Linked DNA regions of Schizosaccharomyces pombe. The protein of the gene in region 3 interacts with the protein of the main gene of each other region in a pairwise test. Each region holds a gene or a part of one and is shown on either strand. Other genes may lie near its edges.

Evidence for each region. Proteins that work in one complex are often made in the same cells at the same time.
Region 1: the proteins of wos2 (region 3) and cns1 interact in a two-hybrid assay, tested with the Schizosaccharomyces pombe proteins (one large-scale study listed by BioGRID).
Region 2: the proteins of wos2 (region 3) and SPOM_SPBC3F6.01C interact in a two-hybrid assay, tested with the Schizosaccharomyces pombe proteins (one large-scale study listed by BioGRID).

The regions. Positions count from the first base shown.
Region 1 is NC_003424.3:3,556,397-3,561,769, reverse strand, and holds cns1 (HSP chaperone complex subunit Cns1), read left to right. Parts: upstream 1-3,545; 5' UTR 3,546-3,646; coding exon 3,647-4,723; 3' UTR 4,724-4,862; downstream 4,863-5,373. Other genes in the region: osm1 (fumerate reductase), read right to left, coding at 1-513, 829-1,039. UniProt on the Schizosaccharomyces pombe protein: Co-chaperone that binds to the molecular chaperones Hsp90 and Hsp70. Stimulates Hsp70 ATPase activity, but not Hsp90 ATPase activity. Involved in only a subset of Hsp90 functions.
Region 2 is NC_003423.3:4,184,088-4,190,834, reverse strand, and holds SPOM_SPBC3F6.01C (serine/threonine protein phosphatase), read left to right. Parts: upstream 1-3,876; 5' UTR 3,877-3,940; coding exon 3,941-5,362; 3' UTR 5,363-6,236; downstream 6,237-6,747. Other genes in the region: thioredoxin reductase Trr1, read right to left, coding at 1-568, 868-868; erg26 (3 beta-hydroxysteroid dehydrogenase/delta 5-to-4-isomerase), read left to right, coding at 2,106-3,128; pho8 (alkaline phosphatase), read left to right, coding at 6,311-6,515, 6,650-6,747. UniProt on the Schizosaccharomyces pombe protein: Protein phosphatase that specifically binds to and dephosphorylates the molecular chaperone Hsp90. Dephosphorylation positively regulates the Hsp90 chaperone machinery.
Region 3 is NC_003424.3:4,465,526-4,472,924, reverse strand, and holds wos2 (p23 chaperone protein wos2), read left to right. Parts: upstream 1-3,835; 5' UTR 3,836-3,929; coding exon 3,930-3,957; intron 3,958-4,156; coding exon 4,157-4,689; 3' UTR 4,690-5,038; downstream 5,039-7,399. Other genes in the region: MFS family transmembrane transporter Mfs1, read right to left, coding at 1-314; SPOM_SPAC9E9.15 (protein CIA30), read right to left, coding at 1,585-2,244; ESCRT III complex subunit Vps24, read right to left, coding at 2,569-3,264; abc1 (ABC transmembrane transporter Abc1/Ybt1), read left to right, coding at 5,563-7,399. UniProt on the Schizosaccharomyces pombe protein: Cell cycle regulatory protein that interacts with cdc2 in the control of the M-G1 transition.

The DNA.
Region 1 (5,373 bases), 910 kb from region 3:
CACTGTAATCGGCAGCATATCCACCCGTGGCGAGTACTACAGGACCATAAACAGTATGGTTACTTTTATCGCTCAAGTCCATGTATTCCACACCAAAAACCTTGTCGTGATTGGGATTTGTCAATAGACGAGTTACACGAGCATTCTTCTTAATTTGTAAACGATCGGGATGGCTAGCCGCAAACTTTTCAGTTTGATCAACCAAAACAAAAGCCAATGGCTTAAAAGGATAGTCAGGATGGGTACCACGATGGGTACGGGGCTCAGAGTGGCCGGCCAAACGAGAAAGTTGATCCATTTGTAACCCAAATCGTTCGGATAACCAATCGACAGCACTGCTTGACTTGGAAGTCAAGGTTCTCAAAAGTTCGGGTTTTGCCTTGGACTTTGCGGAGAGGATGGAATCATTATAGAAAGTATTTACACTGTCGGAAACATGCTGATCGAACTGTAATTGAGTAGGAGCAGCATTAATACCACTAGCGGCTTTGACGCTATTTCCTCCAAAAGCAGCTAAAAGATTGTTAGTTAATAAAATAACAAACAGAAGAAATTAATAGTTTAATATAGACAAATAGTAAGGAGCACAAAAGAAATGAGTCAACCAAAGAAATACACGAAGGGACATGCATGAGTACAGTGAGATTAGAATTTACCGATTAAGAACCACAATATGCCAGACGTATTGATAAAGTGACATCCTGAATATCTGAGATTTATTTCGAAACCAATTGCTTAACAAGATCCATACGTGTCGAAAGTGCTAAATTTACTCCAGGTTACGCTTCATTTCCTATTGCACAATTTTTGATAATCAATTTCACTTACTGTTTTTATCAAGCAGCAAAACATTTCCCCCAAGATCTAATATCGTATTTGTTGCGGAAAGGCCAGCAAGACCGCCACCAATGACAATTGCTTGAGTATTGTTAGCAGTGGACATGTTGAATCTCAATGTACTAAAAAAAGACGCTGAGTTTGTAGAGGGTATGAAAGGAAGACGCCTAAAAGTCCATGTATAAATCGTTAAGCATCGCATTTTTTGGAATCTTACGATAAATTCAATTTGCGAATATTAGTGATTTGAAAGGAACATTAAAGAAAATCGCTTCAACGTTTGCGTTTCCTTCCTAAGATAAAGGCATCGAAGAGAAAAGCAGCTATTTTTTAACAGAAAGCAAATAAACACGGACTTATTGAATCCGATTATTCGTGGTTAGATGCTGTCTGCATTTGGTACGATCGAGTTAGGAGTGGAAGACCTTTAATCATCGTTATAAAAGCTTACGAATAGTGGTAGTATTTAGATGAATACACCCAAAAAACGAATGCCAGAATGAAGAAACAATTAGGTATGCGGGAGTATGGAACATTAATGCCAAAAAAGAAAAAAAAATAAATACAAAATGTTTTCTTGCAAAAAATGTTCCATTCCAAAGTACCGACGCGTCGTCATAACCGCTGAGGAAAGTAAAAGTCAGTACATTGCGAAAAAGAATTGCCTGGCAATTTTCCCTAATAGTAGAAAAATTAGAAATCAAAGTGTTTAAACAATAATTTTTCTCTATAATATGATGGGTTAAAGGACCACACAGTAATTTCTAAAAAGATAAAATTTGTTTACACAAGTTGGTAAATGATTAGATTCATCTCATACTAGCTATTAGAATACTCTTTAGTAATAATATTATCTTATATAAGATTTGAACGCGAATAAAGAGAATAATATTGCCTTACACAGTACTTCTTGACCTTTTTATAAGCATGTTGACTTTCTCCTTAGCAAAAAAATTGACCGACTTGAAAACACATTAATTCACTCAAATTATCTCTATAAAGTATTTCATCTGTGGATATCAAATCATTGTAAAATCTTTTAGAGCATAATATCATTTTTCTTTTATTCATTATATATTAGTTAATTAATATGATGATGTCGATTAGGCCCCTTAACTCAGTTGGTAGAGTGTGAGATTCCAAATCTCAAAGTCAAGTGTTCAAGTCACTTAGGGGTCATATTTTTTTTAAAATGTCGATATACAAATGCTGCATAAAAACAAACATATATTGTTCTTAATTTCTATAAAAGGCATTTAATTTATGGGAGTTGTGCTTTGCTAGGCATGGAGATACTTAAAGCTTTGGTTTTTTACGACTTCCTTTTACGTTTGGTTATTATGATCTTATATTGATCGTAACTTTCAATGAAACTCACTTAACCATGTATGTTTATACAATACAGATTCTGGATTATCACAAAGACCTGCATGAATGATCATCTATTAGACAAGGCTAATTAGGTATACAGTTAGATGGAGTAAATTGCGATTTCAAGTGCTATGATAACTTGTTTAATGAATTACCCAGTTCAACTTGATTTAATCATTATAAATAATGTTCATGAATATTAGTATTTCCATGTTTATCAAATAGTGAGTCACTGCGCAACTGTTGTGTCGCTCGGTACATTCTACTACATATCACTATACATTTTCATGTTATTAACAATAAAACAGTATTCGTATAAGCATATATGCATTTCCTTTACCGGATATTTCCTTAATTATTAAATATCTCTGCCTTTGTAACACTCCCTGTTAAAGCGATATGTATCTTACTATTATAAAACCAGTTACAGCAATAGGCATCTAATTCTAACAAAAAACTGTGTAATAGTAATGCTGGAAATATCATTGTACAAATTTAATTTAGCCTCAATCCATGGCTAATACATGCTGTTTTTTTTGAAGGGATCAAGCGTTACATACCTAATTTTGCATCCTAGAAAACTATTTTCGCAGATCTTGAAAAACAAGTTATGCTCCTTCCTAGATTCCCTTCTTTTTTAATGACAAGTTCGTAGTTTAGGAAACTGTCTAAAGACTCACTGAAACGGATCGCTGATCTGAATGTAATATTTTTTCCACATCTTTCAAATGTAAACATTACTGCGCTGGATCGGCATGTGAATCTTATAAGATCCATTGAATAAGAGAAAATCCCTTTTAAATAATTAAAATTAGTCATATTAGACTTCTGTTGTAATTTACATATTGAATTTGATACATCGCATGTCAATTTTGCTTTGCTGATAAACTTATATTTGCATTATATACCCTAAACGATATTAGCGTGTACTCGACTTTAAAAAATCAAGAATTTAAATAAATATTAATATATTTAGTAATTTTCTCTCTCCAGCTAATTATATAAATGCTAATATGTAACTCACGATTTTATTTCAAAAGTAGGAATCACTTCTATTCATCAGCGAAATTCACCAAACACACTGTTGTAGTCATTGGTGTCTGAATAGTTTTTCTCTACCGAAATAAAATTGAGATGTTTTAAATATCCGTAGCTCGGAATTTTATTGTGAATTGAGATGTCCAAGCATTGGCGGAGCATAGCTAAACCTTCTTATTGCTATTAATCGTATTATAATTTATTCGCTTCCTTGGTCTTCTGTTTGCATTACTGTATTCAGCTATGGCAGTCATCCATTTCTCTGATTGTAGTTCTTTTTTCTTTCAACTACAATAATTGACCTTCCACACCTTTCGTTTAAACCTGGATACACCGCGCTGTTGCAGCAATTAAGGCATAAAAGGAGACAGGTTTTAAAAATTTTTAGAAAAATATAAATATGGCTGGGTTCCAATCATCTGAAGTTGATCCTAATACAAAGAATAAAAATGCAGAGGAGATGTTCAACGAACTCAACAAAGTCCCCTTCTTCATGCAATCTCTTGAAGATGTCGGGGATGAAAGTGAAAATAATGTTCAGTTAGATGCGCTTAAAGCGCTGGCATACGAAGGGGAGCCGCATGAAGTAGCTCAAAATTTTCGCGAACATGGAAATGAATGCTTTGCCTCAAAACGCTATAAAGATGCAGAAGAGTTTTACACAAAGGCATTAGCTCAAAAGTGCGGCGACAAAGATATTGAGATTGCTTGTTATTCCAATCGAGCTGCTTGTAATTTGTTATTTGAAAATTATCGACAAGTATTAAACGACTGTGCTCAGGTTCTTCAACGTGATTCAACCCACGCAAAAGCCTACTACCGATCTGCCAAGGCTCTTGTTGCTTTAAAACGTTATGATGAGGCAAAAGAATGTATCCGCTTGTGCTCATTAGTTCATCCTAATGATCCTGCCATTCTAGCATTGTCCAAAGAATTGCAGAAGAAGTCAGACGATTTTGAAAAGAGAGAATCTGAAAAGAAAAGGGTAGCACAAGAAAAGGTAATTGCTGCAAAGACGGTTCTATTAGCGCTACAAGAAAGGCATATAAAAACAAAAACTACTGAGCATCCTCCTGACCTAGGAGACGCCATGATTTCTCTCTCTACTTTTGATGACCCTAAAAGTGAGCTATTTTTTCCAACCATATTACTTTATCCACTTGTTTATCAATCTGATTTTGTACCATCTGTCTCGGAAAATTGTACTCCTTTAGAGTTGTTGAAAACGGTTTTCCAATCGCCTGCACCATGGGACGTCCATCAACTGTATAATCCCGATAGCCTTGATGTTTTTGCTACCACAGATACTCTCGGTTTAATCAAAGTTGGGAAGAATGTTCCTATTTTAAAGGCTCTAACTCATCCCAAAGTTACACTTATTGATGGTCTTGTACAGTTGCATGTTGTGCCTCACCATTTGGCATCTGACTGGATCTCTTCATGGAAGAAGAACAAGCAAGAGAATGCAAAGAATTGATGAATTTGTCAAACAGCTTTCTTGATCAATTCTCCTTTTATCTCGTAACGTTGTTTTTTAATAAAAATATGTATCTCGGTTTTGGTTGTTTTTCTCTATTTATTATTTACTAATATCATTTTTTCTGTAAGAATTTATCTCCTAGTAAAGTCTGTACAAAAATTGTGTAACCAGAGAAAGCATCAATTTGTAGTCATTACTTTTTTGTCCATCATGTAACAATAACAGCCTATTTTGCTTACTTGACTGTTTTGATTTCATTGACAACGATTGAAATATCAAAATTTTTGGAAATTAGAAAGTTTTACTGAAGAGATACTTGATGTTGTGTTTCAACTATGCATACTTAACTTAATTAAAGGGAATAATATCAATTTCATATTAATACCTTTGGGGAGTATGAAATTATTCGCCAAGTGGATTTATAATAACATCCATCTTATTGCCAGTATGTATCTTGATCAGTTGGCGTAGCATATCATACTCTCTAACTCAGCTTTCACCACCAAACCATCCATCCTTCCATTGTATAGAAAGTTAAGCAAATTTTTCTATTTTCCTTATTTGAATATTAAGGCTAAATACTTCAGTTCTTAACAATCTCTTGATTTTATCGTATATATCTTTTTTAACGGTTGCGTACCGATTTT
Region 2 (6,747 bases), on a different chromosome or scaffold from region 3:
CGAAGCTTGTCACGGCGCACAAGGACATAAACTTTGCTACCATACTTTGTTAAAAACTGGGCCTCTTCGGCAGCAGAGTCACCACCACCAACGACAGCAAGAGGCTTGTTACGATAAATGGGAACGGCACCATCACATACAGCACAAGCAGATATACCTGCTTGCCAATAAGTATCCTCACCAGTAATGTGAAGGCGACGAGCGGAAGCACCAGTAGCCAAAATAACGCTGTCAGCGGTATGAGGCTCTTCCTCTTCAGCACCCTCCAACCAGTACTTGAAAGGGCGAGAAGAAAGATCTAATTTGGAAACAGTCTCGGTAATAATTTCAGTTCCAAAACGCAAAGATTGAGCGCGGAAGTTTTCAGTAAGGGTAGTACCATTGATACCATCGGGAAAACCAGGAAAGTTTTCGACATCGGTGGTAGTAGTAAGCTGACCACCAGCAGCAATACCGTTGGCAAGCATACCTTCGTACATTACGGGCTTAAGCTCACCACGGGCGAGATAGATGGCTGCAGTATGGCCGGCGGGACCAGACCCAATAATAACAACCTTGTTGTGAGTCACTAATGAAGTCAGTAAAATTAAAAAAACAAAACAAAAAAAGATAAACGTTAATGTTGTAAGGCGAGAAGGATAGAAAAGCTGAAAGAACACAAGATAACCATTATCGAACAATGATAAAAAAACAGATGAAACCCAATCTTACACGTGAGTTCGGAAATAAAAAAGTTTCCTACTAATCAACAAAAAAAAAGAAAAAAATTCATCACCGAATTAGTTTTATTTTTAGGTAATAATTTTTTTTTTGTTGGGTTCGACTTCATCGCCGTCACATTTCCTGCACGTTTTTCGTTTCACTTACTATTGATATGAGTATTTGTAGAGAAATATGTTTGTTTTAAAGGGGAATAAATAGATCCTAACTTCAAAGATTTCTTAAAAGAATCGGGTATGCCTTTATAGAAGCTAAATTTCTGATAAGGAAAGAATGTCCTGAAGTATCGAAGGAATGCGATATGGTGGTAGTGGGTAAATTGATTCTTATATAGAGCCCTGGGAAATGGTGTGCTTACTAGCGATGAATAATGAGACTCGTTCGAGACATTCGTAAAAGTGCGAACGCTTAGATTAACAGTGGCAGAACGAGACACCGATATCGCGTAAGCAAATTTAATGCCAACATGGTAGAAGAGGGTATAGGAATGTCGAGAATTAGTGAGGCCACGATAAATGGACGAACCACCAAAGCCATGAGTAAGCGACGCTTTGTACATGAAAGACGACTGACCTATGCTAGTACAATAGAAAGAACTCGACAAGAAAAATCCACGTTTTTGTTAGTTAAGAGTTTAAGCCTCCACAATCCAAACAAATTGTCAAAGAGACGCGCAGAAAGCAAAATTCTCAATGTAGCCGTGCTGGGCTACTTGCCTTACTAAGGTTTTAACCAAAAACAAGTATGATTCAAGTGCGATTGGTGTAGCCTAGAAAAAACAATTGCGAAAAGTAATTTCAAGGAAACAAATTTTAGTCGTTTACAACCCAAAAAAGAAAAATTTGCTGTTCCTGCGATCAACACTGCTTAATAATTTATTTATTAAGGTTACCAACGAGGAAAAATGTTTTACGCTGAATATTGTGATTTGATAAAAGGTATAACGATAGAATTTATAAATAATAAATTGGTTTAACGTTCAACGAAGAAAGTACGAAAATTGGGTTTTGGCTGCTATCAACATTATCGAGCTTTAAGGTAGCACGCAGCATTGCTTTACAATAGGCCAGTTTTAGATGTGAACGGTACGAGGTCGGGAGGTCATCGTTTTCTTGTAATGGTACTCGAGATGTTACTCACTTAATTTTTCTGTTTTCTAAGTGCGTACTACATATTGTACTAATAGAGTTTCAATCGGCTACTATCCTCTAACCCATGTTCCATATTCAACAGCTGCTCTCTTTCTCGCTAATCATGGTTAGTGTATTGCATCTAGCCTACACCCCAAAAACACAGGTAGCAAATAAGCTCACTCATTTCTCGATATGGTGTAACGTCGAATACCTGGCAAGAACCAGACAATCGTTTATTCTTGTATTTTTTTAATGCCGATGAATTCCGTGTTAGTTATTGGAAGTGGATTTTTAGGAGGTCATATCATACGGCAGCTGTGCGAACGTGAAAATCTTCGAATTGCTGCATTTGATCTCTTTGAAAATGAAAAGTTGCTACACGAGCTTCATGGTCAATTCACCATGTATACGGGTGATTTAACGAAACAAGGTGATATTGAGCGTGTTTTTGAGGAATTTCATCCACGCGTAGTTATTCACACTGCTTCACCTGTGCATAACCTTGCTCGTGATATTTACTTTGAAGTGAACGTAGATGGCACAGCGAATATCATCAAAGCATGCCAGAAATTTAATGTTGATGCCCTTGTTTATACTAGTTCCGCAGGTGTAGTTTTCAATGGTGCTGACCTTATCAATGTGGATGAGTCCCAGCCCATCCCAGAAGTTCATATGGATGCCTATAACGAGTCCAAAGCTTTGGCAGAAAAACAAGTCTTGGAGGCAAGTTCTGAATCTTTAAAAACTGCTGCCCTTAGAGTTGCTGGTTTATTTGGTCCAGGTGATCGCCAACTCGTCCCTGGTATGCTTTCTGTTTTAAAGAATGGACAAACCAAATTTCAATTGGGTGATAATTTGAATCTTTTTGATTTTACCTACATCGAAAACGCTGCCTATGCTCATCTTCTGGCTATGGACAATTTACTTTCTAGTAATCCTACTGCCAATGGCCAAGTCTTTTTCATTACCAATGGACAGGTTATTTACTTTTGGGACTTTGCACGTGCTATTTGGGCACATGCAGGACACGTTCCCCCTTATATCATCAAATTCCCTAGACCGGTGGGTATGCTCTTAGCCACTGCTGCTGAATGGGTTTGTTATTTCTTGAAAAAGGAACCTGGCTTTACACGTTTCCGTGTCCAATTTAGTTGTGCTAACCGTTACTTTAACATTCAAAAGGCAGAAGATGTTTTGAAGTACCATCCCATTGTGGATTTGGAGGAAGGAATTCGTCGTACTTTGGCTTGGATGGATACTGAGAAAAAACATTAAATTGAGCCATTGGCCTTGTTATTCTTTAAAAGAATATTTAATTTTTAAATTCTAACGCTTCGTAGTCTTTTTTCATTTCTACATAGTTCACTTTCTTCTCGATGAGTTCTACCTCTTGAGCATGTCGATACGAAACAGTTTTTTTCCGCTTTGGAAATTGTTAATGACTTATATCATCATTTCATTTGATAGATGATTGCTCAGATCTTAAAAAAGGAAAAAAAAATATTTGGGTATCTTGGAATATAGACAAGATCGAATAACATCAATATAACGTTCTCTTTGTACTTTCTACTCGTTGTGCTTGAGACGAGAAGGATACAGCTCGTTTGCTTTTGTTATCTTTCTTTGAACTATACGAAGATTGTCCGGTATCACTTGTGTTTAGAAAACAATGGTTATTTCCTTTACATAATGATTGCCTTGTAAGTTTTTCTCATCTGAGATGTATTGATGTATTATAAGTTTCGAGTCATTTTATTTCGTAGATAAATGAATAGACACACTTCATAGAAACTGCTTTTATTACGCTTGTAAGTTTTTGAGATTTCTAATGTAAAACATTGTGTAAATTCTGTATTTATTTTTTAATATGTATGCTGCGTTGCAAAGTTTGCATTTATAAAGCCATTAATTTGTTGTTCTAAAAATATCATTTTGATCTTTGAGAATCCTAAATATCTGTTTCTTTGTAGCCCAATACTACCAATTATTAAGCTGCATTGTTCGGACAGATAAAAACTTTTTTAGCTACTATCAACCACCAAACAAAAACTCACAAGGGCTTGAATTTGTACTTTTTGCTCAATAAAATGGCTAAAGAAGCATTGGAATTAAAAAATGAAGCCAACAAGTTTCTAAAAGAGGGACATATCGTTCAAGCTATAGATTTGTATACAAAAGCCATTGAGCTTGATTCTACAAACGCAATTCTTTACTCCAATAGATCTCTTGCACATTTAAAGTCAGAGGATTATGGTCTGGCAATCAATGATGCTTCCAAAGCTATTGAATGCGACCCCGAATATGCAAAGGCATATTTTCGTCGAGCTACTGCTCATATTGCTATTTTTCAACCCAAAGAGGCTGTCGGTGACTTCCGAAAGGCATTGGCACTAGCACCCAGTGATCCAGCTGCTCGTAAAAAGCTTCGTGAATGTGAGCAATTGGTCAAAAGGATTCGTTTTCAGGAGGCTATTCATAATACTGAACCTCCTTCACCACTTGCGAATATCAACATTGAAGACATGGACATTCCTTCTGACTATGATGGTGTAATATTAGAAAAGCAAATAACGAAAGAGTTTGTTGAAGACATGAAGGAACGCTTTTGCCAAGGTAAAAAACTCCCCCTAAAATTTGCATATAGCATATTGCGAGACTTAAAAGAATTACTTGAAAAAACTCCTTCTTTAATTGACATTCCTGTTAAAGGGGATGAGACATTGGTTATCTGCGGTGACACCCATGGCCAGTATTTTGACTTGTTAAACATTTTCAAACTTCATGGTCCTCCAAGCCCTACTAACAAATATTTATTCAATGGTGACTTTGTCGATCGTGGTTCGTGGTCCACTGAAGTCGCTTTTACTCTTTATGCATATAAGTTATTATATCCGGACGCTGTTTTCATCAATCGCGGTAATCACGAAACTGACGATATGAACAAAGTCTACGGATTCGAAGGTGAATGTCGTAGTAAGTATAATGAGAGGACATTTAATATTTTCTCGGAAACTTTTTCTCTGCTACCTCTTGGTTCCCTAATTTCCGATTCTTATCTTGTTGTACATGGTGGCCTATTTTCTGATGATAACGTAACATTAGACCAACTACGAAACATTGATAGATTTAGTAAAAAGCAACCTGGACAATCTGGGTTAATGATGGAAATGCTTTGGACCGATCCACAACCTGCTCCAGGACGAGGACCATCGAAACGTGGGGTGGGTTTACAATTCGGCCCTGATGTTTCAAAACGTTTTTGCGAGGCTAATGGTCTTAAAGCAGTGATCCGTTCTCATGAAGTCAGAGATCAAGGCTACGAAGTTGAGCACGATGGTTATTGTATTACTGTGTTTAGTGCTCCTAATTATTGTGATAGTACCGGAAATCTTGGTGCCGTAATTAAAGTTAAGGAAGACATGGAGTTGGATTTCCACCAATTTGAAGCCGTTCCCCATCCTAACATTCGCCCAATGGCATATGCCAATGGACTGCTAAGTGGTATGTGATGGGAGACTGCAAGCACTGTTCTCAGTGTTTGCACCCACATTTTTTTAATTTTCTGGTTTTTGAAAAAATTTGTTCCACAGCTATATGATCCAGTTAAATTATTTTTTGAAGACTTGGTTGTTTGGGTTTTTATGAAGTTACCGTCGTTCAAAAAAATAATGCTATTTGTATGTTTAATCTTTAGCTTAAGGATTGGTTTCGATACCTGGATGGTTAGGAATTCCCAAATGTTAATTCCTGATTAGCTACTCTTTATTCCAAAAGTTCCATTTCACGTTCTTTGTACAATAAAAATATAAATAATGTTTAAGTTCATATGAACAATGAAGTAAATAAAACAATTGATCCTTTAATATCGCACTGATTTAAAATGCTGTCTTCTTATTATTATTACCCTCAAAATTCACTGCCATCATAAGTCATCAATGTGTCTTCTACTTTAAACACTGTACTTTATTTTCAAGTAACAGTTCAGTCCTTTACTTGTTTGTTTATTTTCTGTTCACAACTCATTTGCTTATATATATTTTTTTTCGTTAATGACAAGATCTCAATAATAGTCGAAAGGTAATTGCATCGAATTTTGGATATACGGGATTTTCATGTCAGCAGCTGATTCTAATATTTTCAACAGCTACTTGCATTTGACAGTAGATATTACATGTATATATAGACAGTTTTACCATCACGCTATTTCTTGTGGACTTGGTGAATTGCCATTCTCGATTAACTTGTGCATATACTATCCGATATCAGATTTAAGATAGCGAGGATCGACATGGAGAGTTAATACTTTAAACCATGACGTCATGCAATGTATGGTTGAGCTGTTTCAACACCAAAAATTTGTACTATCCATCAACAAGTCATACGCGTTGAAACGATCTTTACCCTTTGACATCCCTTCTTTTAGAGATATTCAATTTTTACCGTTTAAATAGTTTTCAATGGCATCTGAGCGCGATCCTCTTCTGCCAGTGCATGGCGAGGGTCCGGAGAGCCCTTCTCGTAGAAATTGGAAAACTTGGATAAAACATGGAATTCTGTTAATCCTTGTTTTATCAACCGTTATATTTTTTTATTTTTTCTCGTCTCATAAGTCCAAAGGGACCAATGAGAAACCAAAATTTGTTATTATGATGGTTTCTGACGGTAAGTGATTGGAGTAAGCTCTCTCATAAATCCGTTGCTCTTTTGAAGGAAAATGATTTTTTTTATATTTAGAGCACTGGGACGGAATCTTCCTTTTTTTTACAATATTTCTCGGTGACTGACTTTTTTTAAAGGAATGGGACCTGGCTCTTTGTCTATGACTAGATCGTTTGTAGAGACTCTAAACGATAAAGAGGGTTATAGGCTTCCCTTGGATGAGCATTTAATTGGC
Region 3 (7,399 bases):
GGAGTAAAGATTGCCGACCCCATATACACGGCAAACGTTAAAAAACAAACATCAAATGTTACTACGAGCTTTGCCCATAAAGGCCAATTTTTTGGGTTTTCAGGATCATCTTCGCCATCCCATGTCACAATAATCAATCCTTCAGAGTTAACCTGGTTAGTTTTCTCGTCGTCAAATGAAGAATCGGGGCAACTACTTAACTCAACATTACTATTATCTGTGCATACTCCTAATTTCTCCACATCAACTTGGCGAGTACCGCCAGAAAAGTATTCCACTAATTCACCAAAAATTGTTTCTCTTAAAAACCACATCCAATCGGTTCTCAATGCAAGTTCTTGTTCTCAGTGGATCGTAATAAAAACTTGACAAAATTGATTGTCATTACATTCCTCGTAGAACTTTTGCTTGCCAGACAGAACCTCTTTAAATAGACCAGTTCTTACTTCATGTCATGAAAATTTCCTTGTTGGACATTGGCCTAAATAGCATGTTTAGCCACTTCTAAGAATTTCCACTTGCGCTGATCTATACACTCGGAAGCAAAATTCGTTGAAACCGAGGATAGGTTTATTCAGTATTAGTCGATAAACATAGAAGCGCTTTGTCGGGAAAAATGTTATCTTTGTCCGTCGCATCGTTTAACCGTAATTCGCTTAAAATATTTACACTATTCTAGCAGTGGCTTAACTTTTGTCAACACAATAAAATTACTTTTAAGTTAGTGGTTTAAGCCTATGAATACATTTAGAAAAGGATAAAGGTACTCTTAACGACTCCATTAGATTGATCTGTTTGTAAGTAGATAAATAGATAGAATACTCTCGCTTGTTAATTACTTTTATGTACAATAAGCTTTCAACAGCTCCATTCATTGATGAATGTAATTTGTACTTTAAATAATAAAAATAAAGTTAAATATTGAAGATTTTTTATTTCATTGGGGAATGCAAACACCCAACTAATTATTTCAAGACATACGGTGATGACAATCTGTCGATACTACTATCATCAAGAAGTTTAGCGAACCTCACTAGTCAAATTTGTACAAATTCCGCGGCAATGGGAAAGAATGCGTTGAGTATATATGGTAAGTTACTGACAATCAGAAGTTAAAATAAGCAAACTAAATTGAATTTACTTTGGTTGTAGTTTTGCAGAGATGTGACAACTCCATAGTTGTACGTATATCAATTCATAGTGTTGTTGTTTGTCAATTACTTTGATTGATTATGATCGTCTAGTTTATGATTGCAAATGCTAATTGCTCTAATGACATTAGTCGGACATCACCATTAATGGATAGAAGTAACGGCTAAGCTAAAAACTCAGATTTTTGTAAATGTCAATGTACTAAATTGATGTCAATTAAACTATTGCTAACCTTATTCATCTCTTTAAAATTACTTCAAAATAAAAAAAGAGTAGCAGGAGACTTTAATATCCCCAACACTAAAGTAATACAAAGTCGCCTTTACTATAATTTCATGTCTTTACTATACAAATGAATACCGCACAAAACGCAAGTTAAATTCATCAAATGTCATGAAAATAAATTAAGTAAGTATTGCTAAAACTTTGGAATTATTGGCAAATGCACCAAGAACCTCCAGCAATTTCTTTTTCATAATCGTCAAAAAGTCTTTGCTTCTCGTTACTCATCTTATGGGTAGTAAAAGGAACATTCTTTGGAATAGCACGAATACTGTTTAAAACTAGTTCATAGTCGCCACTTTGGGAATTAAAAAAGCTTCGAATCATAATTGAAAACTGAGTGATCTTGCTAACGTCAAGCTCCGGGGCTCCTTCTACAGGTCGACCACGATAAGTCGGTTTAAATTCGGAAAACGGAATTGAAACAACTTGGTCTTCCTTAGAATATATAGGTGTAAAGTCGTATTCATATGATAAACTTGACTTCTCATCAGAAGTTTCCCAATCTTGATGACAATCCTTAATGATAAAAGTATATTTATAAGAATCGCTCTTAGCAATATCGAGCTCAATTCCTTTAAACTCTTTCAGGTTCCACGTCCTATCCTTGATATTAGTAGCCTGACTACAGAATCCAGCGCCTCCCAAGGTCTTAGTATCAAGAGTGCCCCAAAACTTGGCGCGAGATTTCCCATCACTATCCTTCTCCTCAGTGAGATGACTTATCGAAGAGCCTCCACGAACCCTATCATCTACAGCACGAAAATCCTGCTCATGCCAATTTTCTGGCTGACCAAAAAGAACAAGCATTTCTTTTTAATGGAGTAATGTTCAACAGCGGTGGATATATGAGTATTTTGTATTCAATAACAAAGGCAAAGGAAAGATATGAAGCCTACTTATTGAATATATCTGCCAAAAATTGAATGATATAGGAAGGCGGTCCATGATGCATAATTACTTCATATGCTACTGATGAAAATTTAACGAGAAAAAGAATTTTGTGCCATAAAATTACTACAACCGTAATGCAGGGAGTTTTGTTAAATATGCAAGGAAATCAGTTTAAATGATATAATACAAAGAATAAACATGTAAAATTAGAAGCAGAGAAAGAAAAAATATTTAAACCGTTTAGGATTTCAAAGCATCTAGCTTATCACGAATGTCCAACAATTGTTCTTCATCAATTTCAGTAGAGTCTTTAGCAATCCCATTGGATAAAGATGGAAGTGCTTGTTTGAGTGATTGTTCACGATGTGTAGCAGCATCCGCTGCTTTTTCTGAAGGTGCAGGAATGACATTATATTTTGTAAGAATTTCTTGGACTTCCTCATCCTCATCAGCCAAATCCATCAATTCTTCATCGTCTTCTACTGGTAGAAACATTTCATCACGCATTTCCTCTAAGACACCTGCCTTTGTAAGTTCCATAGACAGATTTCTCATAGTTTCCGAGAGTTGGGGAAGACGAATTAAAGATGATACATCTTGCATTATCTTTGTGCTGGATTGCATAGTACCTTGTATCTTTAACATAGCCATCTGGTCATTCAGTTGTAGACTTAGGCTTCCTAATAAAGCTTTTGATTCGGCGAGTCTTTTACCATGTCGGTTTGCACGGGCAATTTCTTTAGCCAATATACGCATATTTGTAATATCAGATTGCTTTGCCAATTGTTTCAGCTGAACCTCTGCCTTTTTCCTGCCTGCTTTAAGATGGTATACCTGCCGATCTAGTTGTCGTTGTTCTTTTCGAATGATGGATTGCCATTTTCTGTTTTGTTCTTGAGGCGTCGGACCAAAGAAATAAGATCTTACAGTTTGCATTTTGATAATAAAATATGAGAAATGCTGGGTGATAGGAAAAAATGGATAAACACGTAAATTCCCCGTTTACCAATTAAAAAAAAAACAAAAACGATGGATGATTATGCAATAATACAAGGAAAGAAAGTTATGAAAAACAAAACTGACACAAATCTCTCTAAAAAAATGATACTGAAACCGAAATGATATGAAACCTTTAAAAAAAGTCTTACTTCTTCAATTGTTCAAACGAAGAATCCTCAAATCAGCGTAAACCGAATAGTCCTCAAATAGAGTACATCAAGTTGGTCTTTTCAATTTATGAATTGATTAAAAAAGCGGCTTCTAGGATTTTAAAATCCCGTTTTACAAGAAATCAATTAATTGATCAGCTTCTTGACAATTGACGTTAAACAGACTCAATTTTCTAAAATCGATCAACAAGGATAACTATTAAAACTGCAATTTAACAATTTTATTCCCTAGACGCTTCTGGCACAGTCTTGAATACTTGAGCGTATGTTCTAGAAAATACCGTACCCAGTGACTTATAGTTCACTATATAATGTAGGTGACTTCAAGAACCTGCACTAGACAAACCACTTTAGCAGTTCACAGTTGAAAAGTTTCAACATAAAATTACCATATTGAACCTATTATTTACCTATACTTTTTATCATTAAAGAATGAGTTTAAATACACAAATTCCTGAAGGTATGTTACAACAAAAATCCGTAACACCTTATACTGCGAAGAATCTGAGACGAGAATAAGCCGAATAATTCTCGTTTGAAGATAGTATTTTCTTCGGTTTCTTCACATAAAATATTTGATTAGCGGTTTTGTATATTCTGTTTTCCAATGTACATTTATTTGCGTGTTTTATTAGTGCTTGTTACTAACATTCGTTTAGTTTTATGGGCACAAAGATCCAATAAGGATGATGCTGAAAAGAACGTAATTTACCTCACCGTTTTAATTCCGGATGCTGTTGACCCAAAAATTAATTTGACACCTGAAAAACTAGTTATCGATAGCAAATCTGGAGCCAACGCTCATTACGCAGTTCAAATTGACTTTTTTAAGGACATTGATGTCGAGAAAAGCAAGTACTCTGTTACCGGCCGCTACATCTTTTTCGTCTTATACAAGAAGGAATTACAAGAAGAGTTTTGGCCTCGTCTTACTAAAGAGAAACTTCGATTACACTGGCTCAGAACGGATTTTGATCGTTGGGTTGACGAGGATGAGCAAGAAGCACAACCTGAAGTTAGTCCATTTGGCGCAGGTGGCATGCCAGATTTGAGCGCACTTGGAGGTATGGGCGGTATGGACTTCAGTCAATTTGGTAACCTTGGAGGAGCTGGAGCTGGTGAAGATGCTAGTGACAGCGAACCTGAACTCGAAGAGGAAGAGGAAGTTGGCAGTAACGAAAAGAAAGAGTAATAATGTTATCATGTAATCAGTCTTAAAATGCATCCATTTTATCTTTTACGTTTCATACAAAATTGCAATCAACCTTTTTGTGAGGTGGAGCGGAGCAAATTTGAGCTGCGTTGACAGTTTTTTATTAAAAACAGTAAACTAAAGTACCATCTTCTACCTATATGGCTGAATATATTGATTAGGAAATGTTTGTTCCCAATACAGATATGTTGCTCATGTATTAAGACCCGTACGAATTGCATACTTTAATGATTATATGTCAAATTCTATTCCTGAATGGTTTCATATTATGATTTTATATAGAATGTTTAGTTAGTCATATGAAATTTACTAGCTCACATCTGCATATAAAAAACTTTATTTTCGTAGTCATGTACTTCAGAACCGTCGAACATCATTTTAAGTTACTCAGATAGATATTAATTTAATATCAATATAAATTTTAAACAGAGTCATTTAATTGAGGTAATTTACCAAATGTAAAATAAACAAAAAAATAATTACGCCGGGGTGTGTTTTTTTTCGGCAACATATGCTTTTCTGTTTACCATCACCACAGCATAATATCTCTCATTAACTCCTTCAATTACCCGAGGCAATTAGACATTTATTTTTTAACTCTTGACCACAAAGTAATTAAATACTGAATTTGATGAATAATTCCTAAACGATTGATTGTTAGTTGTTTGCATTGTTAATTTTATTAATTACGATTGCCCTAATCGTTGCAAAATCCTCTATTTATTTTTCCCTCCCATTGGACATTTTTGGACTTATGTTTATTGACCTTGGACTTTTTATTGCTTAACATTTTAGGTCGTTTGAGGTTTTTATCCCATTAGAATTTTTTTTTTGTAGACTTTGCGACTTGTGATGAAAATGTTTCAGTCTTTTTTTTCAAATTACATAGATATAAATTTTTTTAGAAATGCAACGTTAGACCAATGTCTACTGCTTTTTTACCTTTCTTTGTTTTCCCTTACAAATTTGTTCCTTATTCAAAAACTATTTCATGCCAATCACACCCAACACCCCTTAAAAAAATACTTTGGAGAAACATGTTTGTTAGAATACATTCAAATTATCCTATCTATTGTCTCTGCCGCACTTTCATTTTACTTGGACACTAATGCTGTTTGGTGGGCAATACGAACTATTACCCATTTGGAGATCGTTGGTTTAAACATTTTGTCATCTTTAAAATATGGATCAACCCTGTTTTCCTGGATTTCGGTAGCAAATGCTTTTGGGCTTCTTTTACTAAGACTGATAAGCATCTATGATTTTCTAACCTATTCATCCTGGAGCTTTTCAGTTAAAGGCGGATCCTTTCTTCTCCTGCTTCCTTTAGCTTATAACATTACTTTATTTTTGCTTGTCATAATTCCTCTCTTTTTTCCAAGAGCGTGGAGCCCGACCGTTAAGTTTTCCAAGGTTGCTCGCCCGTCTCCTGAACAAACATGTAGTATATTTTCTTTGATTTTTACTTACGGATGGTTAAACGGTATTATATGGAAATCGTGGAAAAAACCTATTACCCTCACTGATGTTCCTGCTCTTCCTGACACCGAGTGTACCCAGATTTGGTACAGCCGGTTCGCCAAGAATGATAGAAAATCACTTATGCATACAATCCTTTTATCCCTTAAATCAACAATTCTATTGATGGTTTTTTTGTCCGTTCTCGTCAGTTCAACATTATTTGTCACTCCTCTTGCTATTAAAAAACTTTTGCAATATTTACAAAACCCGAAGAGTGATGAAGGAAACAGCCCTTTTTTATGGGTTTTTGTACTCCTGATCGGTCCTTATTTGGCATCTGTTGTAAAGGAACTTTACGTTCATGTTTCCAGAAGGTTTATGTTGAGAATTAAGGCTGCCATTACTCAAATGATCTACAAAAAAGTGCTTACCTCGAAAACGCTTTTTGTTGCAGTAGATGGATCAAAAATCAATTTGGATTACGTTTACAATCTTCTTGCCAAAGACGTTGATAATATTGGAGAGATGAGGGAATTTATTGGAATAATCGCTCGAGCTCCTTTGGAGATGGGCGTTTCGATGTACTTTTTGTATCAGCTTCTTGGCTGGAGTGCTTATGTTGGCCTTCTACTTGCCATTCTCAGTTCAAGTTTTCCGTTATTAGTTGCATCAAAAATATCTCGCTTAACTTCGATTGCAAATACATCCAGCGATGAAAGAATTCGTTTGACCACAGAGCTCCTTAAAAGCATTAAGATCACAAAACTTTTTGGATGGGAGCGTCCAATGCTGAGCCGCATCCAGGAAAAGCGTTCTTTTGAGGTAAACAATATGTATTCCTTAACCTTGTTTGATATTATATTTAAATCAGGAATGAAAATAGCTCCTTTTATTAGTATGTTCATTACTTTTGCTATATATACTAAAATTATGGGGCATCAGCTAACTCCCGCTACTGCCTTTACTTCTATTTCTATGTTTGGACTTTTGAGGTATCAATTCATTTGGCTAGCTAGTGTTTCACGGCAGTTTATTCAGTTCAAGGTATCTTTGAAGCGCGTTGATAACTTCGTGTACGGCAATATGGTAAATGATAGTTCAATCGAAAGTTCTGATAGTTTTGTTTTTGAAAACACTTCGCTATCTTGGTCACCTACCCCTTCTACTGCTCTGTTTCAGCTGAAAAATTTAAACTTTACCATTCCAAGAAACCAATTTACTCTTGTGG